Rhinolophus ferrumequinum: one gene and its partners. The protein of the gene in region 2 interacts with the protein of the main gene of each other region in a biochemical or structural test. Links are inferred from orthologs where the notes say so. Each region holds a gene or a part of one and is shown on either strand. Other genes may lie near its edges. The genes, in order: F11R, CASK, FCHSD2 and ATP2B4.

Region 1 (6,963 bases), on a different chromosome or scaffold from region 2:
AAAATAATTAAAAACACACACACAAAAAACAATTCTTTCATTATCTTACAGTGGGGAAGTTATTTCCATTCAGACCTGTATGACTGGCCTCTCTTTAATCATGTCCAAAGTCTCTGTTGGGCACGTAACACTGTTCACCAGTTCTAACACGTACGTGTCCCTAGTGTGTTCAGTTTCTTCTGCACTTCTCCCTACTCCAGATCTCCTAACGTCCATTTCCTCTGCATTCTCAGCTTATGACTTTCCCTCAGACTCCACTGAGAACAGAAGAAATCAGACTGAGATTCCACCATCTTCGCAACTGTACCACATACTTGACTCTTGTGGTGCATGGTTGTCTCTGCTCCCTTGTAACCCTCAGCTTGAGCTCTGGAGCCCATCTTCTCTGTCCTCTGGAACTTGGTACTGCAGCTATCCCCTCTTCTTCATACAGCGTTAACTTTTTCCTCTCTACTGGTTCATTGCCATTCGCATACAAGCATTTCCACATAAAGAAAATCCCTATTCTGTCTTCATCCAACACCCCTCCAGCTACTTCATCTTTTCTCTGTTGTTCTTCTCAGCAGAATCTCGATTGAACTGTCTAGACTCACAGCCTTTATCTCCTCAATTTACACTCTCGCTTTAGCCTTCTCCATACAGGTTTTGTTGCCCTCCCCAGTATCCCACTGAAACTTCTTTCGAGGTGACGCATGTGACACAGTTAGGTGACTGGGGAGGGGAGAGCCTTTGCCCTAGTTGCCTCTCTTCAGTGGAGGCAGTTCCCAAAGAGGGCAACACCTGGGGGATACACCCCTCCTTCCTGAAGGGGAGTCTGGGTAGCATATCACGGCATCCACATGCATAAAACCCTATGTTCCAAAAAGGATGCAACAACTTTATTAGACAGTATGTCTAGTTGTGGCTAAGGGGAAATTGAACAGCAGAGTCAGATGAAGACAGGATGAAGTCAGGAGTTAATTTGCAAATGTGGATTTAGTCTTCCTTGAGACCAAAGTAAAGTGACCAACAGGATCATTTGTAAAATTCAAGGTATCCATAAGACACACATATGACAGAAGTGCAGCGTTTCTCCCCAGGACAGAACATTGGGGAGGGAGTACTGTCAGTGTGCCATGGCAGCTCGGCCAGAGGTCACTTCAGGATTGTTTTCAACTCCGTCCTTGTTCAGTATCTTTATTAACCTATTGGATTTGTCACAGAGAGCATGTTTATGAAACTTGCATGTAACACAAATTCAGGCGCAACTGCTAATATACTGGATGACAGAGTCAAGGTTTATGTTTTAATAATCTCAGAGTTTTCTACTTTGCTGACAAACTCTCCAGTTTGAAGTTTACAAAATCTGCTATTTTTTAAAAAAAGACTACAGAAAACAAATGTCAATGACAATGAAATTTAAAAATCTATTATTTATTTAAACACCTTTATGGGAGAAGGAAATGGGTGAATGTCAAATGATTTGCATGATCCACAATTACCTTAATGCTTTGTAAATGGGCACACAGCTGTTTGACACAGAAATAACCGGATGCATACAATTTGTACTTACTCTCTTTAATAGTAATCAGTAACATTATTTCACGTCTACTTTTCTTTATATTAATATTTCATTTTCAAAACAAGAAATAAGAAGTTGAATAGGGATACATGCAAAACAACCTTTGATCAAGAAAGAACTGCCCAAATATAGGATGTGAGACCTGATTTAATAGTAGTCCAAGTGAAAGTAAAAGGTCGTGGGTTTTAGTTTGCTACAAATTGACTATAATTCAATAGTGTCATTTGGCTATTACATTTGCAAATACATTCTTACATTGTAAGAATGTTGAAAATAGCTACCATTTCAGTATTTAAAATATACTTGGCCCCAATGCTTAGCTTATTATCCTTGTTTTGCTATAAGGTAAGTGATACCACTATTACCATGACTGCCTTAGATGCAGAAAGTTTCAGAGAGATGTGTGCTGGCTAACCACAGACGGATAGCTAGAAATTGAGGATCTGGGTGTGAACCGAGATCTGTCCATCCCATGGAGAGGTGGTTTCTCCAATGCCTTGTTCAGACCTTGGTCAGTAACAAACACAGGATGATCCAGCAGAGGGACATTAATACAGGTGGGGGTGGGGAGGCTTGTGAACACGTACGTACATAAGAAGACTCTTTGAAGGCTATAAAGATGTTCAGCTTGGAAAAAGAAAGACTTACAAAGCTCATAATACGTATCTGAAAATACTGAAAGGAAGGGCTGCCATTGGCAAAGAATAATTAGATATTTTGTGAACTCTAGAGAGCAGTGGCTGAAAGTTACCAGGAGGCAGATTCCAATTTGTTAAAAGGATATTTTAACAATTAAGAGTTGTACCAAAAGCAGAGTGGTCCGTCTTGAGAATATTTAGAAGAGTTTAAGCAGTATTGTATAAACTCTTGGTGGTTATATGGGTCCTCCTATGTAGTGTGAGAGGAAGACCTAAATGACCTCTAAAATGACCCTTCCATCTAAAGACTTCGATCAGTCTCAGAGTTCCTTACAACCCCTGCGCAAGCTCCCCCATCTGCAAGTTTCCTCTGCCGGTCACAGCCCAGTCGCCGGTCTCTTCTCCAAGCTCCTCCCTCTTCGCCTCTTCACCCTCATACTTAACTTTGTGTATATGTGTCTGTCTCCCCAAGAGTTTATTTCCTTTGAGGGTAAAGAAGAGAGCTTTGCACATGGTAGGCAAATATTTGTTTCGATTTAGTAATATGAAGTTTCTCCTCTGGTTATTGTTTCCTGTACTTCTCCTAGAAGTAGACTGTAAGCCATTTGAAGCCAGGGATTGCAGTTAGTATTTGTTTGTATTCCCCTACAGCACCCAGTAGGTGCTTGATAAACATTGCTTTAAGTACGGCAGAACCAGAAGTGGATCTTGGCCCAAGATACGTGAACCAAGGAATGAAAACAAAGATAAAAGGAGCAAAAGGTCAAGGAATATCACTGTTTTGTATAAAAGTATGAACTTTTTATGTGCAGTGAGATAATGATCAGGAAGTTTTCCCACAGGTAACGTGGGTACACAAAGATCAGTTAAAATTAAATCATTGTGAAGTAGAAACTACTAACAGTAAAGGTGTTGAACATGAGTTTCAATTAAAAATGATGTAACAGTATATTAACAGAAAGGTTTAGTATCAACATAGTCTATAGAAAGAGGTGGTTAGTCAGCACCCAACCATTAGTCACCGTGCAGATAATTCTGAAACAGGGCTCTTGTGACAGATCGCGCACGTTGAAGGACATACTCATAGTCACAGTGAGACTCACAGAGCATCTGCGTGTCCATTTGTGTTATCTGGTGTACTTATGCTTGAAGTCCTTGAGACGAGTAATCCTACTTTCCCCGGTCTCTCTCCCGCCCTCCCTTTTCCTTCCCTCCTCCCAGCGCAGGCCCTCTCGAAGCTTGTGAATGCTGCCAGTGGGGTCGACAGAGGAACACGGTTTTGGGTTGTATCATGGTCCTCTAGTCTCCTGGTCCTCTCCCCCCACCCCTCGCATATTATTGAGGTTTTCATTTGATAAAGGACGCGCCCAAGGTTTCTCCAGCACCCAGTAACGTACAGCCAAACAAACATCAAAAAAAAAAAACCTGGCGGGTTTCCGCGGGGTGCGCGACACGACCGCCTTCCCTACCTGCCCCTTCCAGGTACCCCCTACTGCAGCTCCAACCCAACCCCCATTCAGTCCAAGAGACCCTACTTCGGAAACGCCGCCCAATCCGAGTGTGCTCACCTGCAGAAGGTGAGGAGTCGGTCTCCTTTGGCGACTGTTTTCCAGCCAATCAGAGGCGCCACGGGCTTGAAAAGACGCCCCTCAGCCTCACGGGGAGAGAGGTGGGCGGAGCTGCACCTGGCGGCGGTGAGTCACTCAGAGGAGCGGCGGCTGCCTCCTCCAATCGGAGTGCGCAGGGGCGGGGCGCCGGCCAATCGAGCGCGGAGGGCGGGCCGGCGGGCTCAACCTGTGGGCCCGAGCTCCGTCCGCGCTGCTGTGCGCGAAGCTGGGTCTGTCCCAGGGCTCCGGCGGCCGTTCTCGCGTCGGGATCCTGGTCGTCATGGGGACAAAGGCGAAAGTCGGGAGGGAACAGTCGCTTCTCTTCACGTCGGTGATCCTGTGTAAGTTCCCGGAGTTTCGGGAGGAATTGGTGGGTCGGGCCCCTCCCGCGGAGGGGAGGAGTCCAGAAACCTGCCCGCCGCGCCCTCCGGTCCCGCTCCGCTCCCCGCCCCCACCCGGCGGCTGTGCCCGCTCCCGGGGCTCCCGGCCAGGGAGCGGCGGGGTCCGCAGGCGCACACAGCGCGGGGCGCTGGTTCCACTTCCCCGCGCTCACCCTGGGAGGGCCGGTGGGCGCGAGGGCCCTGCCCACGGTCACGCGGGCCGCGCACCTGGGAAGGGTCACCTCCCTAGACCACCCAGCCACCGGGCGCAGCAGCCACCAGCCTGTCACCGCCGACTCCCGGGGCCCCTCCCTGGAAGCCCTGCTCCTTCAGGGGCTCCAGAGAAACTGATGGAGGCGGGTGGGGGGTTCTCTCCCCGGCTGTTGCCCCGCACCCCGCGTCTTTGCGGGGCGGTGGCTGCCCTGGGAAAAGTGGCTGGGTGCAAAGTCTGAAGAGGAAATACAGCTGAAATCTGAAATTGCTCAGAAAACGGCATTCATTGTTCCTTTCGGGGATAACCCGAGTCCTTAATAATCGGTGTTGAGTGACTGGCTGGTCCGGGCGCGGTCGTTGGCTGGATCCTCCTCGGAGCCAGTCGGAGCCTCCGTGAGGCTCGCTGGCCTGCCGGGACCTGCCCGTCCCCGGTGCGGGGGCCCCCGTCGGCGGCCTGTGTCCGCACCTGCCGCGTGTCCGTCGTCTGCGCCCTGAGTGTCCTGCCCACGCTTCTGTGGGTGCTTGTGTCAGTCATTCTGCGGTCGGCATGAATCTCTGATTTTCCCTCAGGGTCCATGTTTTAGGAAATGTTAAAGGAAATGATCAATTACCGTCGATATCGGCAGTTCTAAGGCCATTCATTTTGCTCAGTTCTGAAGGGTGGAGACAGGGTTCCTGCCCGGAGACAGATGGACTGACTACTCTGTCACAAACATTTGTCCCTTGTCACAAAAACATAAGCCTTTGGGTTGGACTGGACTAGAGGCGAGCCTAATGGCCTCTCCATTGTGTAGATAAGGAAACAGCTCCAAAGAAAGGAAATGACTTTTCCAGACTGACAACAAAGGTCTCCTGACTGCCTTTGCCTTTTTACCTCCAGTTTCCATTGTCTGCCTACCCCACCTTTTTACTTCTGCCTGGATCTCAGGACTGTTGTTGACTCCACGTTTGTTGATTGTGTGTGATAGTCAGTACTGAAGCCTGCCCGGCCCTGTACTGTGCCTCCCTCCCCCAAACCTATGAGCTGCTCTTTCTGAGCCAGTGACTCTGCACTATATTTGTCATGCTTGTAAGCTTCCTGGAGCTGCGACCTTCTCCCCTTTTTCCTTTTCTTTCCTTCCTCCTAATTTTCTGTGCCACATAATAATCACACTGGCTCCGAGAGAGTTGTGACAGCACCATTCTGAGGTTGGGGAGGTCCTGTAGTCTGTTCAGGGAATCAGAAAACGGGTTCGGAGGCCAACCCAGGTGACGCTGCATCAGCTTGACAGGACAGTGGGCCCTGGGAAGTCACATGTCCTGGGCTGGAGGAACCAACCCTGTAACATTTAAATCAGGCTGGACTTCGTCCTGTAATCCAATCCCCATCTCGCTTTCTTCAATCTTCTTTACGTTCCCTCCTTAATTTGAAATGCATCAAAGAAGCTGCAAAACTTTTATGCTGTGGGAGCATTTGAGGTCTTGCTTCTGGCATATGTCATCAGTTTGGCTGAAATAAACATGTAAAAATTCTCTAAATAAATTAATAAATAATCAGGCTAGCCCTGGGGAGAGTGATTTGATTAGTACGCTGAGGATGGAAATAGGAGCCAGGCCGCCTGCCTGGGGTCTGGCTTCGCTCTGCCTTATCTGTGATCTCAGGCCAGTAGCTCCGTCTTTTCGTCTGTAAAACAGGAGCAGTGACACTTGTCCTAACCCTGTCCTGACGATTTACCAGTATCACGGCTGCATTACGTACACATGAAGGCGTACTGGGCAGCTGTGGTCCCCTCTAGATTCTGTAAGGATGGAAGAATCTGTCCCTCGGAAAGTAGGTCAAAGAAAGCAGGGAGAGACTTTGATAGATCCCCAATGGCAAAAGTTAAAAAAGTAGGGGCTCGCTGTTGAGCATCTAGTCTGTCCTGTAACCCCTGGGATGTCAGAAGTATGTACAGATGCCTGCGTGTTCTGCCTCCTCCCTCCGGGGCTGCTGCTGTCTGAGGAAGAAGACAGAGCAAGACATGACTGACAATTAAGCAAAGGCCGAACCCCATCCTGGGAACCTAGAGGAGAGGGCGGTCTGAGCCTGCTGGCCAGGGATTGGCAGGGGTCGGAGGCTAAACTCGGAGAACAGGGCTTGAGAGAATATCTGCTAACGAGAGCACCAGTCCCCTGTCCCTAGAGAGCCTGTGCTTAAACAAGTCTCCAGCTGTCTCCCAGGCAGTGAAGAGGCATTTTTGCTTAGCAGAGAGGCATGTGAATAGGACAGGGGAGAAAGGGAAACCTAGTTTAGAATGCTGGTCTTTGCCCCCGCCCCCCGCCCCCCTTTACTGGAGTGTAGCGTCCCCCTGAGACCATCCAGGGTGGAGGGACGGCCCTAGGTCTGGGCCATCTGTGAACCCTGCTGTTCCTTGCTGATGTGCTTTCTAGCTCTGCCGCATAGGGTCAGGCTTGCCCTCAGAGGTGGAGACTCCAGGATCATCCCCCCTTTCGTCTCCCTCCCTCTCCCCCAGTTGAATTTACTCCCAGGAAAGAACTGTTTCCTTGAAACCAGAAACTAGAAAAACCAGACACTAGAAACAGGC
Region 2 (7,471 bases):
CCAGGAAATACAGAAAAGGAAATTTTAAGGAGGAGGTACAAATTTAATTCCCCACTTTACCTTCAAAATCTCTCATAGCTAAGTCAGAAGGAAAAATTCTAAATGCTGTGTGAGATTTAAATTTGTTTTTTTCTACACAAAATATAGCTCGTAGAACTAGTTTCAATTAGTAGAAATAAATCCAATGCCCCCTTTTCTGGCCCTGCTCTCTTGATACTTCTTTAGCTCTGATACTATTGACTCTCCCTTCATCTGTGAAAATTGTATTTTTTCTGTTATGCATTTTCTTCCCAAGAATCCAACCACTTTAACTGTTTCTATTGGATCCTCAATCTCTTCCTAATTATGACTGATTCTCTAATCCAAATCAAGAAACATACAACTATTTATTTATTTAACAAACACATACGGAGTACTTACTATGTTCCAGACACTTTCTAGATTCAAGAGTTGAAGGAGAAAGGCTATAAACAAAACAAATAAAAGAGAATTCCAGGAAGTGATAAGGGCTATGAAGTCATTCATTCATTCATCATTCAACAAATGCCTTTTGAATACCTACTACATACCAAGCACTGTTCTAGATGCTGAGAATTCTCTTTCATAGACCTGAATTGGGCCTCTCCATGGTGAGCAAGATGGGACAAGGAGTTGGAGGCAGGAGCCCAGTGAGTAAAGTGAGGCAACATCTAAGTACGGGTTGAGGGTGGAGTTGATTGGGGTGGAGACTGAAGAAGTGGAAAAGAAAGGCACAATCCAAAAGAAATTTTGAAAGAAAAATTGACAGAGTCTAATTACTAGCTGAACATGGAGAAAGTAGAGTGCTAAGAAAAAGCCAATGCCAGCGCTTGGGTATCTAGGAGAACAGGGAGCCTTCCCATTATTCATTCTGCCCTTCTCCTATCAAAAAGTGTCCTGACTTTCCTTTGGGGACTTTTCCCATCCCTACATTCTCAGCCATGAGATTGATTCTCATGCCCAGCTTGAGGGTGGGGCCTGATTGGTTAAATGATTCAGTGACTCATTCCGTGGCTACAGAGATTGGTTCAGGGATGGTCATGTGCCTTAATACAAGGCAAGCAAGAGACAATAAATCCTAGAACATGGGCAAGATCTACTGGACAAGACTCCTCTTTTCCTGGATGCTGATATATAAGAAGGTGAAGTCTGGAACAGTAGCAGTTATTTTGCTACTTCAAGGGGAGAGCATGGAGCTTTGGGGGCCACCTTGCGGAACCTAAGGATGAAGGCAGTACCACAGAATGCACAATGATGAGACTGGGAGAAAGTGGATTTTCAGTGACATCATCTGAGTCCTAGATCAAGCCTCACATGAAGCTATTATACATCTCAACTTTTCAGTTACGTAAGCCAAGGATTCTCTGTACTGTTTAAGCTGGTTTAAGTTTTCTGTTACTTGTAACCAAAAGAATCCTGACTATTGCAGTCTCCATTAGCACATAGCACAGTGTTGAGTCCCCAGGAGGCCAATGAGCACTTGTGATCTTAAGTGGCTCAATGAATGGATACCTTTTGATTTCATTTTGAGTTACAACATGTTCAGTGTATACAGGCACTGTGCTGTGTCCAAAGGCAATCTTGTTTCTACTGTCAAACAAAAGTTTCCAGTGACTTGTTCACTGATATTAAAGGAAGAAGGGTAAAATGAATCTTTAGACAGAGGTTTACAGAAGGAAACACATTTGTATTCATATCCTCTTCTGCTCCCTGAAGTGTTCTTTTGCATTTGTTATGGTTTCTCCACCCTAGTGATGAAGTCAGCCCTGGCTCCTTTTTTCTTGTCAGTGAGCTTATTCAGAGGCCAGTGTTAGGGCAGTGGTTCTTAATTTTTAGGTGTACAAGAGTCACTAAGGGAGCTTTTAAAAATATAGATCCCTGTGTTATCCTCCAGGAGATTTAGATTCAGTAAGTCTTGGGCAGGGCCCAGGAATCAAAAAGTTTTAACGTTTTTCATATGATCCCAGATGACATGGATGCAGTTGTCACTTTGAGAAACACCACTGACTTAGGTTGGGTTCCTCCAAAGCAGATCCTGATAAGGGGATTCATGAGCAAATGATTTATTAAGGAAGTACTCCCAGGAGAAACCTATTAGGGAATGAAAGAGGTAGGAAAGGGAAGGGGAGGGAGCTAGGCAAAGTCCTGCGGAGGGTAGCTGCAACCTGATCCCACAGGGAAGCTCAGGATGTAAGTAACCTCTCAGAGTTGTCCCCTCTCCTAGGGAAGGGAGCTGGGCTTTCACATTCCTGCACTAACAGCCAGATGGGGCAGACCTAAACTCCCAGGCACTTCCATGTAGGCAAAGTGATTCCAGTAGCTTGTGGGAAGTCCTCTGAAGTCACAGGCATGGGCTTTGGAAGCAAAAACATGCTGCAGCTGGGGGAGGGGCACAGAGAAAGGTAAAAAAACGGATAGGAAGGAATTTGAGTGGAGCACTTACAGTGTCAGCTCCAACCATTTAAGGGATTTCAATATTTAGTACAGGAATATCTACATTTTAAATGTAACTAAGGGAGAGGATAGTGTGCACCAAATGAAATGTGGGACCCTCAACAGAAGCAATTCTCAGGCTCTAAAGCTCCCTTCTCTAGAGAATGCACAAGCACATTGGGAAAGGAGGAAAGTCTCCTCATACAATTATATTTTCTCCTCTGATTTGCATTTTTTTTAAAAAAAGGTTTAGTACTCAAATCCTTAACAGTGGCAAATCTCTCAGCCTCTGGAGGGAGTGGTCAAGGATGTACATAAAACGTTTCTGAAGAGAAAATAGGCTGTGGGTCTCCACCCACCCCACACACTTTGGTAAATACTATGTTTTCTTTTTCTTTTTTTAAATTACCGCACTAAGAATTTTACCAGATGATTTCTAGAAGCCGACTTATGAACTAATTGGGCACTTCTGCTGTGCAGAGGAACAAAGACTTTTTTTTATTGGTCCTCAACTGAGCCATATACCTGTCTGATGGCGTTGGCTCATTCCGCACATGCTCAGTGGAACAGAAATCTTCATATTGAATACAATCTAGCACAGCGGCAACACCCAGAACCGCACTCCCTGGTTGACCCTGTGCATCCACTCCCTCTAGTTGATTTTTTATCCTGAATTGTCTAACATTTATAGGGAGTGTAGGGAGCAGAGTAGGTCCTGTGGGCTTGACGGGAGGTGGGGAGCAATATACAAAGGGGCTTAAAGCCTGTTTGTTCCTGCCTTCCTGACCTCTCTCTAGGCTGTCTCGAGAGGGGGCAGGAGCTGGGTAGATATTTGTTAAGTTTGGGCAGAATGCGGGAGAAGCTGTCCCTATAAATTGCCATTTGTTGTTGCACACCTTCGTGGACAGTTTTTGTTTGGTCCGGTACTTGTAGGTGGACGACCCCCCTTATCCAGCCCTCCTTTTCATTAAAGAACGACAGAGTGGCATTAAAAGCATTCGCCGCCTGGCACAGTCTAGAAGAGTGACAACCTCTCCACCTCTTGTTTTCCCATTCATTAGGACCCTTTCCCACAAAAACCGGGAAAGGCTTCCTGTGGTTACAAAGAAGGGGGTTAGAGCGACTGGGATTCTGAGCCTCTCGCCGCAGACAGCCAACAACATGCGTTCGGTCGTGGACCTTTTGTCCTGGCCCCTTCCGCGGCTTGGTCGCGGAGGTGACGACCCGGACCAGCCACCGCCTAAGCAGCTGCCACCCGCGCGCCCCGTGGGCCAACCCCCGCCCCTTTTAGAACCGCGGCACCCGCCCGTTCGCCGTGACGTGACCGGCGGCGCGCGCATGCGCCACTCATCCCTGTTCCCTTTCCTTGGGCCACCGCCCCCCGACGGGCTGGAGTGGGCGGGGCCTGTGGGTGGAGAGGCAGCGCGGCTGTAGCGGGAGGAGGGCGTGTGTGCGCCGGGCGGGTGCGCGGGGTAGGCGAGCTGGTCGGCTGCTGAGGCGGAGGAGGAGGAGCTGAAGGCGGCGGCCACGGCTCCCGCCTGCAAGGAGAGCCAGTCCCGCGAAGCCCCCTCCCATTCCCAGGCGGGCGGCGGCGGCGGCGGCGGTGGCGGCGGCGGCAGCGGGAGGAGTAGAAGGAGGAGGGAGCGTCTCTGCCGCCGCCTCCTGGTCCCCAGCGCCGATCTGCCGCCGCCACCTCCCTCCGCGGCGATCCTCCCTCTATGGTCCTGCCGCGGCCCCTTCTGTAGCCCGAGCTGCCCCGCGCCGTGCCCGAGCCAGCCTCAACAGAGGGAGCGGTCGCGACCTCGCGGCCCGCGCGGGCTGACGAGCGGAGAGCCGGGCCGCGCGGTCCCAGAAGATTCGCACGCCGGGCAGCGCGGCCCGAGCAGCGCGAGGAGCAGCGGGCGGGCGGGCGGCGCCGGGCCCGGGCCGCCCTCGCTCCCGCGCCCCGGCCCGGCCGCCCGCGCCGGGGCAGTCGCCCGCAGAGGAAGGCGCCGCAGTCTCTGGGCCTCGCGCCCCACTCGAGCGTCCTCAGTACCGGGGGCTCGCGAGTCCTGAGGGGAGGAGGCGAGCCAGGGGCCGGGCACTGAGCTCTTTGGCGCCCCCACCCGCGTTTTTGGAGCCCTCCACGCTGCGGCCGCTGTCCCCTCCGGACCATGGCCGACGACGACGTGCTGTTCGAGGATGTGTACGAGCTGTGCGAGGTGATCGGCAAGTGAGTCTTCACGCGAGGGAGCGGGAATGTGGGAAAATGCATTTCAGTGATGCCCGGGTTCTCCCGTACCCGCACCCGCTCCGGGCCTGCCCCCTGCCCTCCCTCACCTCCACCGCCCTGGTCTTCCTCACCCCCAAGCATTTATAGACGTGTACCTGGACCTCCTGCCGGGCGGGGGTCTGGGGAGTTCCCAGCGATCCGTGGAGGTGAACGAGCCGAGGTCGGCCACCCCTTGAGGCGTGGGGCCGGCTGAAATCTGCTGTCTGCATTTTATCTGACGGTTGCACAGGGACGTGGCCGAACCGATTTTATAGTTGCTTCCTGGGAACAGTTGGGATTATTGTTACCTTGTGTGTAGCACAGACCATTGACAAAAAAAAGCAGCTTGCATTTCCTTTGCTTGCGTGGAAAGAAAGAGAACGTCCAGGGTTTTTAATTGTGGGGTGTGTGTCTATTGTGCAGGATATTAGATAGATGTCTTTGTGTTCACCCCATGCCCGGATCGGAGGGGGTCATTTGAGACAGGGTACGTTCAGTTTCAGCAAATTCCTCACCTGGTATAGACGAACGTGGAAAGAGTTGGGGGGATCCGAATTTTTAATGCCTCGTTATGCAATGACTGTTAAATCAGTGTTCAAGGCTTCCCTCGACTGTTGTTGGGATGGTGGTTAGCGTGGTAGAGCCGTCTGCTTTGAGTCACCGGGCTGGTCTAGAATATAGAACTGACAGTCCAAATGCTCATCCTTTCATCTGTGTTGTATAATTACACTAGGGAAAAGCAGGGAATCAGATTAATCACAGTGCTGATTGAGAATTAAATCTGCAGTTCCTCATCTAATTGTCCATTCCTTAAATCTGTTTTGAATAGTTTCCTTTTCATTCTTGTCAAACAGTATTCCAAGTGCACAATCCTGCTAATTTGCTCGTTTGGGAAATGCTGGCAATCTGAAGTTGATTTCGTAGTTCAACGTGTATTCTGTGGGTTTTGAAGTTGAGATAAAATTTAAGAGCAATTCTTGCTTATTTTTTAAGGATTACTAGATAGCTACCATTGAAATATTTCACCTCTTTTTGGAAGCGGTGCTTTATTGTCTATTTTAAGGTCTGTAGTTGGGAAATGAAACGAAGATCTTAGAGCAGTTGGCTCTCTTTTAAGTTGTCTGCAGGGCTGGATTTCAATTTAAGTGCTGATAACTCATTTTTTCCCTTCCATGTTGAGGTATTACAGTGTTTCCTCACATGGTGAAATTGTGGGTAGAGCTTGCTGCACACTTTCCTCAGACCCAGTTGATAGGAGGACATGTTACTCCTTGTCCCTATTGTTTGTTACATGACCAGCCTGTCTACTATAAGAATATCCAAATGTGCCCCTGGTGAAGTAATTGTGGAAGTGCTCTAGAGCAGCGCTGTCCAAATGATATATAATGTGAACCACATGTAATTTTATATATGTAAATTTGGCATATGTAAATTTTCTAATAGCCATATTAAAAATATTAAAAACAAATAGATGCAATTAATTTTAATAAAATATTTTATTTAACCCAATAGATCCAAATTATTAAGATATTTTACAGCCTGTCATACTCAGTCTCTGAAATCCAATGTGTATTTTACACTAACAACACATCTCAATTCTGACACTACGCTACATTTTCATAGGAAATACTTGATCTGTATTTAGGTTTCATAAAATTTGCATTTGCAAAAGTAGATTCACATACCCAAGTTGTTCCAAACATACCTAAAAGTTTTCCAATAATGGATTCAAGTATCTTTCTAAATTTAAATTTAAATTAAATAAAATTTAGTTCCTTAGATGGACTAGCCACATTTCAAGTGCTCAGTAGTCATATGTGAATAGCACAGTTCTAGACAGACAAATACGTAACAAAAAAAAATCCCTTTGGTTTCTTTATTCTTAGCACCCAGTGAAGGTGAATTAGGTGCTAAGCCCCCAATGATTGTGTCTGTATGGGTGAATGATGTTTGTTATGTCTTAGTTATATTTTATTTAAATGAGCCAGCAAAGTCATAATTGGAATTTGTGAGATTAAAATGTTAATTATATTGTGGTGATGGAATATAGCCATCATTGAATCAATGTTAGTTACTAGTTCTGATTCCTTAAGGTCTGGAAGAGTGACGATGTGATCTCTTTGAATATCGAAAAGAAGTGGTCAGCATCGCATTAGCACAACCAATATTCTGCTGACTTATAACTGATACAATATTCTCAGGAAACACCTCTGATCGAAGTAAATTCATCTCTTCTGTTGCCTCAGAGCTGCATAAGGAGGGAGAGCAAGCTAATTTTGAGGTGATAGGTGCTCTATGGATACCTTAACTAATGTGAATGTGAAATCTCATTCATATCCTACAAAATCTGACTTGGTCAGTGCCATTTATGTCATTCCATGAAATAATGAAATTCAAGGTAGCCTTTGTGGGAAAGCATGTAATGATAGTGTTCCTCACCCTGTGTAAAGGTTGAAGGTTTCTCCGGTAAATTGTCTCAGCATATATTGATCTGGAAATTGAAATTCACTTGCGATTTTCTTACAGGAACCTTGACAGCATACATTTTAACTTAGAATTTGTTCAACTCTGGATTTAAACAGAAAGGCCTTGAAGATGTTCATTTGTACTGAAAACCTTTTTGTTGACTTCTATCCAAGTTCTCTGGAATTGTGATTTTCTTTTATGCCAAATTAGTATCACAAGTTGGTTTTGACCCCTAGGTCTTAATAAGTTTAAATTTTCACTGAGATTCTTTAAAATGGATTTCACTTTTCAAGACCAGTTGAC
Region 3 (7,137 bases), on a different chromosome or scaffold from region 2:
ATTTCTTTCAGTAAAATGAGTCATGCTTCCCTCTATAAAGAAAGATACCAATTTTCACAATTGGCATAATGTCTAAATTCAAAGTTTTCTTGATTATGAACAGAGGTAATTTTAATGATAAACACATTTCTCACTAAATTTAATGTTCAAAGATAAAGTTGTGTCTGTCATGCTCCAACAAATAACGCTAGTATATAATCATCTCAGGTTGACCGGCTCACCCCTAGATATTAACCATTAACCAGAGGAGTTAGTTTAAAAATCAGTGTGAAATCGATAAGGTCAATAAATGTTATAATTCAGTAAAAAGATTATTTAAATAAGAATTTCAACTTCAATGATTATAATTTGACAGATAAACTTTTAAGACCCTTGTTTTTTCATAATAGTATGTGTAAGTTATAGGTTCCCCCACTAAAGGAAAAAAAGTTTGTATTGTGTTAGTTCCAGTTATAATTTCTAGCTGAGTCAAAGCTCTAACAGCCTTAAAGCAGGAAATCCAAAAGGAAATTCCATCATCAGTTCCTGGGGCTTGGTAACTCAAAGCTTCTTTGAAACAGAGATACAGAAGTTCTCAAACTATTTACTATAACCTTACCTCATATCTTCAAGCAAATCACATTCTGCTTGATGTTTGGCTTGAAGTTTTGTCATCTGCTCAACTTGAATGTTTTTCAGTTCTTGTGTAACTTTCACCTAAAATACACCATATATTTATGAAGGCCTTACTGCAACTTTAACAAAAAACAAACAAAAAAAACTGCTTAAGGAAAATACTTAATACTTGTCAGAATATACACCTCTTGCGCACCTCTCCCCTGGAAACTAGAAATCCATTATTAGCCACCTAATTTTGTTTACTGAAGATACTCAGTATGAAAAAAAATTAGCCAAATAACCTGAAACAGAGGCTAAATCTAAGTACACAAGTGTAAAAATTACAGATTAAAGAGGTGCAAAATAAACTGCTAGTCATTCAATTTCATGCACAAGCTCAGTACATATCTAGGTCTTCCTAGAGTTTTAAAAGAGTCTGTCTTCTGTTTCTTCCAAAAAGGATTCAAAGATATTAACCACCAGAAGTACTGAGCAGAGTGTAGCCCGGAGAAGGGAGCATAAGAATGCCTAATATCTAATGACTGAAATTTACACAATCATGAAATTATATGCATGAACGGACTACATAAATTATTCCATAATGGCTGCAAGAAAGCACACTGTCTCTGGATGATGCCCTCCACTCGCTGACAGCGCATCAAATCACAATCTTTCTCACAAAGGAGAAAGCAAAAGTGACCTTCCAGCATATGCAGTGCTTCTAAGCCACCCCAGCAAGCCGGTCCCCGCCGCGGCTCCACTTTAAAGAGCCAGAATAGCAAATGCAAGCTGGCCAGTGCCTCGCCCGCCAGGCCGGGACCCCAGGATTCCAGGTTACAGTGGGCCTGGAATCCCCACCGCCGGAGTGAGGCTACCCGGAGGGGTCGGGGTACGTTTTTTAAAGAAAAAAGACTTACTTAACTGAAGAAACCCGGATTAAGAAAGAAAGAGGAGGAGGCAGACACGAGTGAGTTAGATATTCAACAAACGTTTGCCCACGAGGGGAGGATAGAACAGCCTCCTCCACCCAGCGCCCAGAGTAGACACTCAGTAACTATCTGCAGGATTAAAAAGACAAGGACACAGACTCAGCCCCTGGGAAACGTGAAGAGGGCTGTGAAACAGTTCTCAGAAAGTGCAGCAGTAAAGCTGCTGACAAGCCCGGAGCACCCGTCACTCCCACCCCAAATCCAGATCGCGGTGCACCCGCCACGCACTGCCCGGTTTTCACTCTCCTGAGGACAGCATCACCGCCTCCTGGCCCCCTACCCGGAGGGACGGGGCAGGAATAGGGTGGGGGACAGAGAAAGGCAGGACTGACTGGTCAATGCTTAATTTCTTGTTTTCCCCTGGGATGGGGGGGGGAGATGACTATTCCAACTTCTTTTCGGCCCGCCCCGTGGGAAAAGCAGGCCAAACCTTAAGGCTGGGCTAAAAACAAATTCCCTGCAAATTTGCAAAATGGGCGAGGGTGGCGACAGGCAGCTGGAGGGCTCAAACCTGGTGCAGACTAAACAATCACACAAGCACAAGGCTCTGCAAAGCTGCAGGGGCTCCCCCGCCTCCCCTTGGTGCAGCCCCGAGAATGCACTTTGCAGCGAGCAGCACTGCCATGCGCGCGCACACACACAAATGCACACCCGAAACTCCTCTGAAATGTCGGGGGTCTCTCGCGTACTGGAAGGGACGAACCTCAGCCACCCCTCCGTCGGAAAGTCACCTCACACCCGTGCCCCCCCGCCTAGAACCGGCGGAATCTCAGTGACAAGCCAGAGGCGACGACGGTCACGGCCGGTTGAGGAAAGGGGGAGGGGGCGCAGCGGTCGCCCCAGCCGCGTTCCTTGGACGCATCCTCCCCGAGCCCCGAAGCCCCCCTGCTGCACCCTCACCTTCCTCGGCGGCGGCTGCATGATGCTGAAGGGACATCAATCCTCCACCGACGGCGGCGTTAGCTAAGACGAGGAGAAGGAGGGCCGACGGGAGGGGACGGCCCAGCCGGCGCGTGTGTGTGTGAAAGGAGAGCCTGAGAACGAGGACTAGCCCGGGAGGGAACAAGGCCGGCAGGCGGCAGGAGGACCCGGGTCGGAGGGCGAGTGTGAAGAGGAGGAGGAGGAGCGCCGGGAAAGCCTGGGGCTCTGGCGGCCTGGGGGGTGTGTGAGGGAAGGAGGCGGAGACCGCGAGGGGGCGGGGGCCCGAGAGCTGGGGCTCAGTCTCCCAGCTCGCCGGTCGGCTCTCGAGGAGCAGCCGCGTCGTCCGGCTCCCCGCCAGCCGTCGGCTCCGGGGCTCCTCACAGACGCGGTCCCCCGCCCCCACTCAGGCAGCCCGGCCCTCGCTGGGCCTGACGCCCCCACCCAGCCCGGGGAGGTGAAGGCGGTGCCGCGCTCTCAGCTTCAGCTCCTCCACTCAGGCCGCGGGAATTTCCGGCCCCACCGCGAGGCGCAGCGCCCCACTCCGGCGGCGGAGGGGACAGCTTAGGCCAGAGCCGGGTTCCAGGTCCCGTGGCCGCGGCGTGGGGCTCCCTATCGTGGCGGGGACGGGGGGAATTAACGGATCGGTCGGCGAATAGGAGGGGCAGGAACATTAGCAGAGCACGAAAATCCCCCCGTCCTTCCCTAGAGTGGCACGTTCCAAACGCCTCCTGTCCTCCCTCCCCCACACTGGGAGCCAGCCGGGGGCTTCCCGCGCGCTTTCCCGCCAGCCTGCCGAGGCGCGCGCCTCCGATCGGGGGCGCGCACGTGGGCGGGAGAGGGCTCTGCGCCGACGCACGCGCACAAGCAGCCCCTACCTCCTGCTGGCTTTTGCGGCTGCAGTGTTTGTGCGGGCTGGGGGGTCGTGGACGTTCAGAGTGAAGTTTTTACAATGATAAGGGGTCAGTATGCCTGTGACAGTAGGAGAGTTCCGGTTTTCGCTTCATCTCGGTCCTCCAACACCCCTCTCTCCCGAGCAAATGGGCCGGGCAGATAGGCACCAAGGGAGCCAGCATTAGCAAGTCTTATCACAGCAGATCACAGGTGCCTGACTGTTGTTGGGGGGCGGGGGGAGTGTCTAGTTCCCCTTTAAAGAAAAAGAACAGCTCTCTGCTACAGGGCATTCAAGTCAAAGAGCATGGACTCTGCAGGAAGGGAACAGTTAGGTCGTTAAAGGCAGGGCCCCCATTTTATGGATGGGGTGAATAGTGCCCATAGAGGACTGGAGACTTTCTGAAGGTCACACAGTAGGACTAGAATCTCTGGATCACGAAGGGTTCTTTGGGTTATAAAGAAACAGGTGCAGACGATCCATTAGGAAAAGTAGAGGAGGCAGCAGGGGCAGAGGAAGCCCTTGTCTGGGAATCAGGAGCTCTGGATGCCGGTCCACTCTGCCTGCCTCTAATTGGCTAAGTGAGCTTGGGCTGCCTCATCTGCCAATGAAGATGCTCATCCAGGCAGCCCCCACACCCACCACCGCACGACCCCAGTACCTTCCTGCTCTGCAGACCATCTGGCAGGAGGGGTATCTGCCTCTCTTGGAGTCCTTAGAAGAATGAAAATCCCTCTTCTGGAGCCACAGGGCTGTGTAGAGGGTGAACTAGATTGCCCCATAGTTTTATCAGAAGTTGGCATCTCTGACACCTGTTCTCAGAAGTGTAGTCAGGCAAAACAGGAAAGTGAGTGAGGCCTGGAGAGACCCAAGTAAATTGCTCAAGGCCACATGGCCAGAAGTTGGGAAGATGGAACTTGAACCCAGGTTGTTTACACTGAGTTAGCCTAGATTATTGTACATGAAGGTGATAGAATCAGAGCTATGCTTGAATCAGATTTAATCTAGAGCTATGTGTAAACTAGGAGACCAAGCTTGCTATTTCTGGTCTCCTTGAGGCCATTCAAAAGTCAGCCCTTCTGCAGGGTCCTCAGTTACTATCAGGGAAGGCCTGGGGCAAGAGAACAGGTGGATGGAGGCCCAGGTCCCTGAGAGTTGTGGGTCAATACCTAGAGCCCAGGCCAGAGGTAGCCAGGCTGGGCTCCAGTCTCAGCTCCACCACCAATTCATTGCGAGGCCTTGAGCGAGTCAGTCCAACTCTTTCAGCCTTTATCTCCTCACTTGTAAAATGGGGATATAATATCAGCCTTGCAGGCTTGTATTAAATAGATTTTCTCCTACCACAAGACCTGGTACATAGTGCTCAATAAATGCTCACTGATTCATCATTCATTCAAAAATATTTGCTAAGGTCCTGCTTTTTGCCAAGTCTTTGTACCAAACACCAGGGATAGAGGGATGAGCAAAACAGTGTCAGCCTAGGCCTTCACCAAGGCTGACCAACCAACCATTCCATGAATGACCCTGGGCCAGTGGGGGAGCGGTAAGAGTGCTTGCCCAGAGGTAGTGGCCCACACATAGAAGGTGCCTGAGAAAGATTTGCTGAATCCTCGTCCTGCGTGTATCTAGTCTGGCCCAGAGACTATCTTCCCTTCACCGTCCTCCTCTGGCAGTGAGCACTGGGGCTATAAGTGTGCTGGATGTTGGGCGACTTAGATTCAGCCTCTACCACTGATCTGCTGGGCTTTCTCTGGGCCTTGGTTCCAACTGCAGAATAAAGTAAGTGAATGGGCCTGGACCTTAATAGACTCTTCGCAGATTAAGTCAAACCCTGAGGCTTCACTTTATGAATTTAAGAGGGCATCCCCCACCTTATTTGCCGTTATTGTGAAACCAGGAATGGCATTGACTTTCTGGAATAATTTCCTTTGGAGGTTTTATAAAACTAAGGGGCAACACCAGATGGGCATGCCTACTAACTGCTTTTTCAAAAATGATTTTTAAAAGTACGCACTTAATATTTACCACCGGAACTTCCAAACTCCAAACTTTCATGTTACTTTTCCAAGCTAATCTTAATTGTAAACCTATGAAATAGTATTTTCTTCATTTTACAAATGGGGAACTAGAGGCTCATTGAATAGAAGTGACTTGCCCTGAAGTAATGGATTTGGGACCAGAACCCTGTTCTCCCATTTGCCTCTATGAGGAATGTTCAAAGGAATTAGGAAAGTTCACCCAAGAAAAAAGCAGTCTCAGGAGGTTACAATCCATATGTTCCAAAGTCACAGGGAGGGGGAAAAGGTTTCTGTGATTTATGCAAGCCTGAATTAAAATACACATATACACCTTTGAATCAGGCTGGAGACTTCCAGAGCCTTTCTCCTGCAAAGCAGGCAAGCACCATGTTACCCGTAAGATTTCTTAAGATTCTTTGGGGGAGATGCCACAGAGCTGTCCCATGGCCACAGAGTAGCATGTACTGTGTGTGGCTCCAGAGACAGAACTGGGACAGGTCTCAGCTGCATCTAGGGAAGGAGGTTTTCTAGGCAGAGCCACCCCTAGAGGGGACAAACTCCCCCATCCCTGGGGCTGTGCAAGCAGGTGTTGGCTTCCTTCCATCAAGGAGGATTCTCACCCTGGGAAGGAATAACCACTACCATTTATGTTACCTTTTCCATGTTTCAGGCATTGAACAAGACATGTCATTTATATTGTTTCTAACCCTGACAACAACCCCTCGTGATAAATATGACCCTATTTCACAGATTTCACAGCCTGAGGTTCAAAGGTAAAATGACCTGCCCAAGGTAACACAGCTAGGACAGGAGAGCAGGCCTGGCCCCTGGCTCCCTCTAGCTCTGCAGCTGTGCTCTCCCTCTAGTGTGTGTGCTGCTGTGCAGTCTCCCAGAAGGAAAATGATTCTAAGCTTAAGAGCCAGGATGGAAAGCTGGCCTGGAGCAGGTATATGAATGGGCTTTGGAAGATGAGCCATTCCAATATTCCAGGACTCTCAGGAAAACCCCCGGGGAGGCAGTGTGTGCAGCAGCCCTTGGACATGGCTAGAACATGAAGAGCGTCCCAGCCCAGTGAAGAGTGGGTACCCAGGACAGGCGGGCACTCCACCCAAGGTTCTCTGCTGAGAAGGTGGCCACCAACCCATCTGCCCATACTGCACCACCCCCCTTCAGCTGGGGTTCACAGACCCTCTGCTTCCTTTCCTGCTCTGTCATGATCCCCCACTTACAGATGCCAGTTATTTCCTGCCTGCACCCCGCAGAGCCTAGCTGCAGACAATGTAGTCTGTGGACCCCACTCCTATTCACCTTCCTTCTACCCTAGTCACCTTCCCTCTCCACCTCCATCCCACAGGCACACACATAGGGGCCTTTGCTCCTACCTGAGCTAATCCCCTTAACACGGCCAGCCTGGCATGGGGGTATGTCTCCTCCACGCGTCTGCTCTTCAGACAAGAGAATCACAGCCCGCTGAAATGCGGCTTTGAGATCTGTGACCACCAGAAGAGGGCAGGGGCTCTCCCTAGGACACAGAGTGAATTTGTGGCAGAACCAGATACCATCCAGCATCACTCAACAATCCCCTTGTTCTGGGTTCAGTCATAAGCAGGTCTCTGGGGTAAGCGCCAGGCCCTGCATGCACTCCAAGAGCTCCCAATCTCAACACGTAGACAAAAGGTCACAGCAGTGAATTGAGGACATGCAGGGCCAGGAGAGTCATAGG
Region 4 (7,231 bases), on a different chromosome or scaffold from region 2:
CTGACAAATCTGACTCAGCCACTCCCTTCCACTATTATTGTGGGAGCATTAGCCCAGATGAGGTTGATTCCCAGGCTCCCCCCAAAATGCCACTTCCTTCTTTCAACAAACATTGTCCAAGCACCTTTTAGTTTCTCAGGTACTGTGTTAAGTACGGGAGCCGCCGGGGCTACCAGAGCTGCGTTCTTTCGGCTTGACCTTGAATTCAGCCCGGGACGCGGAGGTGGACAATCGAAGGGAAAAGGACTGTGGCCCTCTCCTGCGTTCAGAGCACCTTCTGCACAGAGCCCTCGGACCAAGGAAGAGCCGGGAGTGGAGCTGAGGCGCTAGGGGAGGGGCGGCGGCGCGTGCCAGCACAGAGACACCGGGAGAGCGGCCGCGGGTTCGCTGCGTTCCGGATACCGACCCCACAGCTTACCGCCACCGGAGCAGGCGCATGGGTGCACGCTAAATTGGGAACTCTCCCCGAACCTACCAGAATCTAGTCCTAGTCAGAGCACTGAAAATTGGAAGGTCGGCTGCAGGAATGGTGCACGCCCCCAGAGGGAATGGGGCGCGGGGAGGGTCCGGGGAGCGGCGTGATTTAAGGGGTGTACTTCCGCAAGATGGTGGCAGGGAGGATGGGGCTCCCGTGCAAGTGCCAAGAAATGGATTCTCCCCCTCTCCTTCCGACAGAACAAGGGCAGGATCCTATCTTGGGTCCCCTAGCCCCTGGGGAAGGCCTCATTCTCTTCTTGATTAGAATACAGGGAGGGAGGGAAGAGCTGTCTAGCCTTAGGGTGCAGTCAGGTCAACCGTCCAACACCTCAAAATGAAAACAGGTTCCTGTTGCTTCCCCAGCCCCCATTTAAGCTCTCCTCCAAGTCATTTACTTCCTTCTTTCCAGTTTCTAAGCTCTCTCTTTTACCACCCCCTCCAACCAAACTGACTGGGGCAAAGGGCAGGTGCTTCCTCTCCCCCTGGATTGAACCCTACAGATGTGTCAGCTTCAGGTCCAGGACAACCTCCCAGAGCTAGCTCTCCACGTCCCCCTACCCCGCCCCCCCAGCCTAGCTGCTCACTAACCATCAGAGCCATCACCTCTTCCTGCCCTCCTCCTCATAAACCTTCCTCCAGCCCGTCTCTCCTGACCCCAGGACCCTCTCCAAGGCCTCTCCCAGCCTAGGAGAACCCTGGTCTTTTCCCTTCTTCCTTGTGAAGAGGGCCCCAGCTGAGGGGGGCTGGAGGGGGACCTCCACACAGGAAGGTCTGAAGGAACAGCTCTGGGGAGGGGCTCAAGGAGCGAGGGGAGGATCTTAAGAGAGGAGGATCTCCACCCAGAGGAGGAGGTGGCGCTGTAGCATGGGATTTTACTTCCCCTCCCCCTAGCGGCGTCAGTTGAGGGCCCGCCTATTTTTTCATCTGACATTCCCCTTACCAGGCCAGCCCGCGCAGACTTCGCCTCTGCAAGTTATTGTAAGTCCATGAGGAATGCCCAGGAGAAAGATGTCTCTGGCCAGCAGGTGCCTCCCAGGTTGTGGTTGGCCCCTCCCGCATCCTCCATACCCAGCAAGAGAGAGCCCTGGTCCTTCTGTGATGGAGGAGTGTGCGAGGCTGGACTCGTCCGGGAGAGGATGCCAGCCAGCTTCCTCCACCCCAAGAGCGAGCCAAGTATGTGAGTGAACATACGTGTGAAGGGAGGCTAGGAGGAACAATACAGCCTTAATTTCTACCTGTTCAGCCCCAAGACGTTCTGGGACACTCCCAAAGATGCCTGCAACCAACCCCAACCGCCAAACACTCACCCCTACAGTCAACAGCCTTGAAATTGCAAACTTTCCAACTTCACTCCTTCTCCTTTCTCACAGAGATACATGGGGCGGTGCCCTCAGATACACTCATACAGTTGGTTCTTGACGCTCCACTCACACTCAAACAACAGCAGTACAGGGAACTCCCAGCTTTTTCCACAGCTAATTATAGACGTGAAAGTCTGAGGATGTTTTGCAAGTGGCAGAGAGAAACTGCTGAGGTTTCTGTATAAAGCAAAAAAATTTAATTTGTGTACTCCTCTTCCTCACCGCCCAACTTCTAGCTCCACCCAACCCCCAGTGAGCCCCTCTCCTAGTCTTCACTGCAGCCCCTCCTTCTTGTTGAAGATTTCCTACTTGGTTCTTTCCCCCCCCCCCCGTCTCTCTTTGGGGCTTTCGAGAAAGGGAACAGACGCGGAAAATATTTTTGCAACAGTTTTCCATTTGGCATCTCATTCCCAAGCCAAGGGGGAGGGGAAAAGCAGGAAAGGAAGAGGGGTGCATTTTGGGTGTGAAAAAGAGTCCCTCCATTCCCCTACCCCCACGGCCCAGGAATAACAAAAACTAGGAAAAGAAAAAGAAGTCATTTGTTTGATTATACGGTTTTTCAAAACTGAGTCTAGGAAAGGAATACAGTATTTGACAAATCTGTGCGCCCGCGCGCGCCCGCGCGCGCGCGCGGACACACACACACACACACACACACACAGTCGCAAGAAATATGCCAGGAAGAGTAAATTCGGGAGTTTTAGAAGCCATTGAGAGGAAAGAAAGAAACAAAGTTTGTAAATCGCGAGTCAATTCATTCTCTGCAAGCCTACCTCTTTTTCTAGCAAAGATCCAGGCTTCTCCAAGCAAGACGCTCCCTCCGGGTTTCCATGGACAGGGTAGGGTAGGGGTGACCACCACTGGTCTCCCCAGTGTGGCAGTCACGCTAGAGAATCTGGCTTTAATCTCCTGCCTTTTCAGCCACCGCCAGGGAGTGGGCAGGGTCTCCTCCCCCCGGTCCTCCCAGTAGGAAGGACCTCTCAGGTTCCTGGAAGAAAATAATGCAGGGGAGCTGGGAGGGTGTCTAAGATCTGGCTTTCTTCGGAAGGATGGTTACCCAGGAAGTTCGTGTCTTCCCCCTCAACCCCCAGCTTTGGATGGTCTCAACAGCGGAGCTTTCTTAAGAAAACGCTTGTCATGGCAACAGCTCGAGCCAATTCGACCAGACTGTAGCTCACCACCTCTCCCCAGCAGTGCGGGAGGAGAAAGGGGAGGAGCAAGAGGTGGAAGGGAGGTGGGACTTGGCGAGAGGCCAGACTAGCTCTCCACTGTTAAGGTGGCCCGATTGCAATCTATGGCTTCTTCCTGGTTCGTCTTAAGGGGGAATGGAGAAAGGAAGGGGAGGAATCCTTTCTTCTCTCGGAGTTTCCTCCCCGCCCTTGCTCTCACTTGTTGAAAGTAGGGTGGGGGATGGAGGTGGGGAGTGGATGTGGGTGGCGGTATTTAACCGTTGCTGGGTGGAGGGAAAAAAGGAAGCTTCTGCCGGCGGTTGGCTTCCTGCAGCTCTTTTTGGGCCTCTCAGCCTCTTACTCACTTAGACCCAGGACCCAGAAACCCAAAAACCCAAGGTGTCTGGGGAAACTTGTATCATCCACTTTCACCCTCTCGCCCCTGTCTGAATAGGGAGCTCACTGGAGAAGCATAAGGAATTGCTTGGGTTACACACACACCTACACGGTTTTGCTTATACACACACCTTAGTACAGTCTTCACCCATATTTCACACACACCATTCTTGGTCACGTTTTGCTCCCTCTTGCCTCTGTACCCCACAGAGGCACATCCCCAGCACATGATAACAGCTGCTTACTTTTGAGTCCTACTATGCATGGGCTATGGCACCAAGAGCTTTGTTATATGGTTTCCTTTCTAATGCTCATGGCAATCTTGAAAGGTACTTATTATTATCCTCATTTCAGAGTTGAGGAAGTTGAGGATCAGTGACTCGCCCAAGGTTACACATCTGGTTAATAACAGAGCCAGAAACAAAACCAAGTCAGAGTCTCCTGTACTTTCCTGTGCTTGTGTCATACTCTGGCATGCATTTCCATTTTAATTTGCACACACTCAGATACCATGCACATTTATACACAGCCTATAAACTGTTAATCATACCCCTGCAGCCACACACCCACCAGCATTGTGCAACAGTGCCACCCATAGATTTTTGCCTACAACTTTATGGCTTTCAAGTACAAACATGTACCATAATTGGTTCACACACCATGTCTTCATTGACTGAGCTATTCCCACACCTACCTCAGCACACACACTCGGTCATATACATACGCTTATGGAAACCGGGTTAGAATTGTAAACTACGCTGTGAAGAAGGTGACCCACCACAACTTCAGGGGTTTGGGAAGAGACCTCTTTGACTCACCCATTCTAACCTGACTCCTCACCCCACAGGGTCCTCCTTTGCCCCAGGACGAAGACCCTCATGCACACTGAGAAACAGAATTGTGAATTAGCCCCTGGGCTCTGGTTTCCCTCTGCCCATTAGCGTCCTTCCCGAATTCCTAACATTTGGGTCCTTGCTTTCCTCTTTTTACTTTCCTATCCTACTATTTCTCAACAACTCATCCACATCCTATTTCTGAGCGAGGGAAAGTTAAACAGACAAAAGTGAAGAAATTTTTTAAGAGTGGTTGGGCTTGGCTCAGAACTCAGAGTTCCCCATGTGGCGCTAGAGATTGCCTGCTGCCATCTAACTTGGGAACCAGATCCAAGATAAGCCCCTGCCTGTCCTTGTGCCCCTTCTCCCCAGCCCAGCCCAGCTGATGGAAGGTTACAAGGGAGGGGAGGGGAGTTTAGGGTTACCTTCTATGGAAGCCATCCATGGATTGTTCTCCAGCAGTCTTTTCTTCCTTGGAATTGAAGGTCTCATACTAGGAGGACACCAAAGGTGAGATTTTTTTTCTACTCCCTGCCCCTCTCCAAACATCTCTGGTCCTCCCCACCCCACTCCCCAGTTCTTTAGTGGAAGAACTGATGGCAGGGATAGAGATGGTACCTTGTTAGAGTTTGGAAGGTCCTACCAAAATGTAGCTTCAGGAGCCCAGATCAATTGTTAGTGAAGACAGAGAATGAATGGAAAGGAATCAACTGGACAGGGCTTCAGATTTGATGGCTTGTTAAACTCTGTGCTAGATTACAACAATTTGACATTTCAGCTCCTAATGAGTGTCAGTTGCATCTTTATCGTGAGAAAGCCAGTCTCTGACATGGTGTTTTAAATGTATTAAAGTATATTTTCAGCTTGACTGCAGTGACTACGTGGGGAGCCATTGCCTAACTGTTCAGTAAACTGGTCTTAGGGGAATAACAATTTAGGCCATATGTGTGGTCCCATTAAAGGAGAAGTCTGCTTTGGCTGCTGGCACGTGGAGCTGGAAATGATGCCTAGTTAGTATTTGAAAGGCAAGATCCTCTTCTCAAACTCCTTGGTTCTAGGGAGGCAGACTCTGCAGGGGAGGTGCTGCCAAAGAGGCTCTGATGTCTCTGCCCCACCTCTGGCTGGTTGGGATTCAGGGCAGGCCAGGAGTTTGACTTGCATGATAGCCTGTAGGTAGCTCCTCCCTTCTCTCAGAACCCAGTGTTCCCCCATTCCCAGTGGGGGTTTGTGGGATGAGAGAAGAGGCACCCCCACCCCATTCCAACCCCTAGGCTCCATATAGACAGGAGAGAAGGATGTGAGAGGTGGGTCAAGGTGGTAACTCCAGGGGCGGCTGCAGCCTGACGACTAGCTGAGCCCACCACCAAAGCTTGCCTTTCCTGGAAATCCAGAAGCTTCAGTGCCTTGCTCCTTCTAGCAGCAGGCTTGAGGTCTAAATGGATAAAAATAAATCTACCCATAAAAATAACCACTGAATGTGGGAAAGTGGAGTTGTGCCCCTTTCCCCAACCATGGCAAGAGGGAGGGCACAGCCTCCGCCATCAAAGTTCTTGATTGGGCTGTTGGATATGGCTGGCTGCCCAAGCAGCTTAGTAGCCCCATTGCCTTCTTATACCTGCTGTCTTCTTGACTTCACAGTTTCTCTGCTTCTTTAGCTCTATCCTGGCTCCTCTTTCCTGGGTGTCATGAACTCCCTTCAGCAGGTCAGTCTCGGCATTGTTTTCATCACTGTGCACCCTGTCCCCACCCATCTCTCACTTGAAGAAAATGCAGTCAGCTTTGACTCTCCCTTAAGTGCGTAACAGAATATGCTCCTCTGGCCTCCTGAGAGCTCCACTTTGAGTTCCCCAAACCACCCTTGCCATTTCCCCCCACCTCCTTTGAATACAAACTGCATCTCTCCCCAATTTTGTCTGTCTAGAATAGCAACTCTCTACCCATACCCAGATCTAGTGCTTTTTAAAGATGGTCTTTCTCCTCACTCTTAAGATAGGAACTGTCATTTTATTTGAGGTCCCACCCCTAAATGATCCAAACTGAGCTAATTACATCCTTTCCTGGGATTTTTAAACTTAAAATCAAAGAGTATCCTTCCGGCAGTAAACACTGTGAGGAATGAGACTCTGGAAATATCAGCGGCCATGTTCTCTGTCATATAGAAGAAGCTTGCCAGTAGGAAAGAGTAAAGCTAACATGTGGAGAGAGGCAGAGAAGAAAGCTGAAGGGTGAGTCCTGTCAGCATTTGAGCCAACTGTACCTCATATCTTACTGTACCCTTGCTGTTTCTACAATGAGTTAGTTATATGACTCATTATGCATGCATAAGCTAGATTAAATTGTGTGGGTTTTTTTTTTCACTTGTCCTAAATAATATAGAAATGTAATATAGAAGAGGATATAGAAACCCTTTGAGTTGGTACCTACCATTTAGGTACACTCATTTTGTTACCGGAGAGTGGGCCCTTTTCGGCACAATGTCCAGGTTCTTGGCATCTCAAGCAAAGAATTGAATGAGATACCGAGACAAAGTAGTGAAAAAGAAATTTATCAGAAGAAAAAGTACACTTCAAAGAGGTAGAAGTGAGCCTGAGCAGAAAGCAGTGGCTCAAGGCCATTATTAGAAGAGAAAGTACACTCCAAAGAGTTTGGACCCGGGCCCCAGAGCAAAACCAAGGCTCAAAAGGTGCTGACTGGCAAGGTGTAGTGCAGGGGATCCTGCCGACTTCTCCATGTGTCGTGCAGGGTGTCAGGCGGGGTCTCTGGTCCCACTCCCCACATAAGAACGCAGGACATGGTGAGGCCAAAAAGGAACACCCACGGAGCCATAGGTAGGGGAGTCACACCACTATACTCTCACTGGCGGCTGGGTTGGAGACACAGGAACCAGGAGCAACACAGTTCTCAACCCTCACTGTGCCTCTTGCAGACTCAGCCACTGTCTTCTTGCTAGCTCCCCCCTTTTTTTTTTTTTTGCTACTAGCGTAGCCATGGCAGT

The links.
Region 1: the proteins of CASK (region 2) and F11R form a complex in vitro, tested with the Homo sapiens proteins (2 studies listed by BioGRID and IntAct, with this or other methods). The link is inferred for Rhinolophus ferrumequinum from reciprocal best matches to the Homo sapiens genes CASK and F11R.
Region 3: the proteins of CASK (region 2) and FCHSD2 form a complex in vitro, tested with the Homo sapiens proteins (2 studies listed by BioGRID and IntAct, with this or other methods). The link is inferred for Rhinolophus ferrumequinum from reciprocal best matches to the Homo sapiens genes CASK and FCHSD2.
Region 4: the proteins of CASK (region 2) and ATP2B4 form a complex in vitro, tested with the Homo sapiens proteins (2 studies listed by BioGRID and IntAct, with this or other methods). The link is inferred for Rhinolophus ferrumequinum from reciprocal best matches to the Homo sapiens genes CASK and ATP2B4.

What each region holds. Positions count from the first base shown.
Region 1 is NC_046305.1:2,235,037-2,241,999, reverse strand, and holds the start of F11R (junctional adhesion molecule A), read left to right. Parts: upstream 1-3,954; 5' UTR 3,955-4,086; coding exon 4,087-4,147; intron 4,148-6,963. UniProt on the Homo sapiens protein: Seems to play a role in epithelial tight junction formation. Appears early in primordial forms of cell junctions and recruits PARD3.
Region 2 is NC_046284.1:92,023,939-92,031,409, forward strand, and holds the start of CASK (peripheral plasma membrane protein CASK), read left to right. Parts: upstream 1-4,462; 5' UTR 4,463-4,604; coding exon 4,605-4,663; intron 4,664-7,471. UniProt on the Homo sapiens protein: Multidomain scaffolding Mg(2+)-independent protein kinase that catalyzes the phosphotransfer from ATP to proteins such as NRXN1, and plays a role in synaptic transmembrane protein anchoring and ion channel trafficking.
Region 3 is NC_046294.1:48,435,341-48,442,477, forward strand, and holds the start of FCHSD2 (F-BAR and double SH3 domains protein 2), read right to left. Parts: upstream 3,003-7,137; 5' UTR 2,508-3,002; coding exon 2,487-2,507; intron 697-2,486; coding exon 599-696; intron 1-598. UniProt on the Homo sapiens protein: Adapter protein that plays a role in endocytosis via clathrin-coated pits. Contributes to the internalization of cell surface receptors, such as integrin ITGB1 and transferrin receptor.
Region 4 is NC_046305.1:27,391,400-27,398,630, forward strand, and holds the start of ATP2B4 (plasma membrane calcium-transporting ATPase 4), read right to left. Parts: upstream 3,022-7,231; 5' UTR 2,612-3,021; intron 1-2,611. UniProt on the Homo sapiens protein: Calcium/calmodulin-regulated and magnesium-dependent enzyme that catalyzes the hydrolysis of ATP coupled with the transport of calcium out of the cell. By regulating sperm cell calcium homeostasis, may play a role in sperm motility.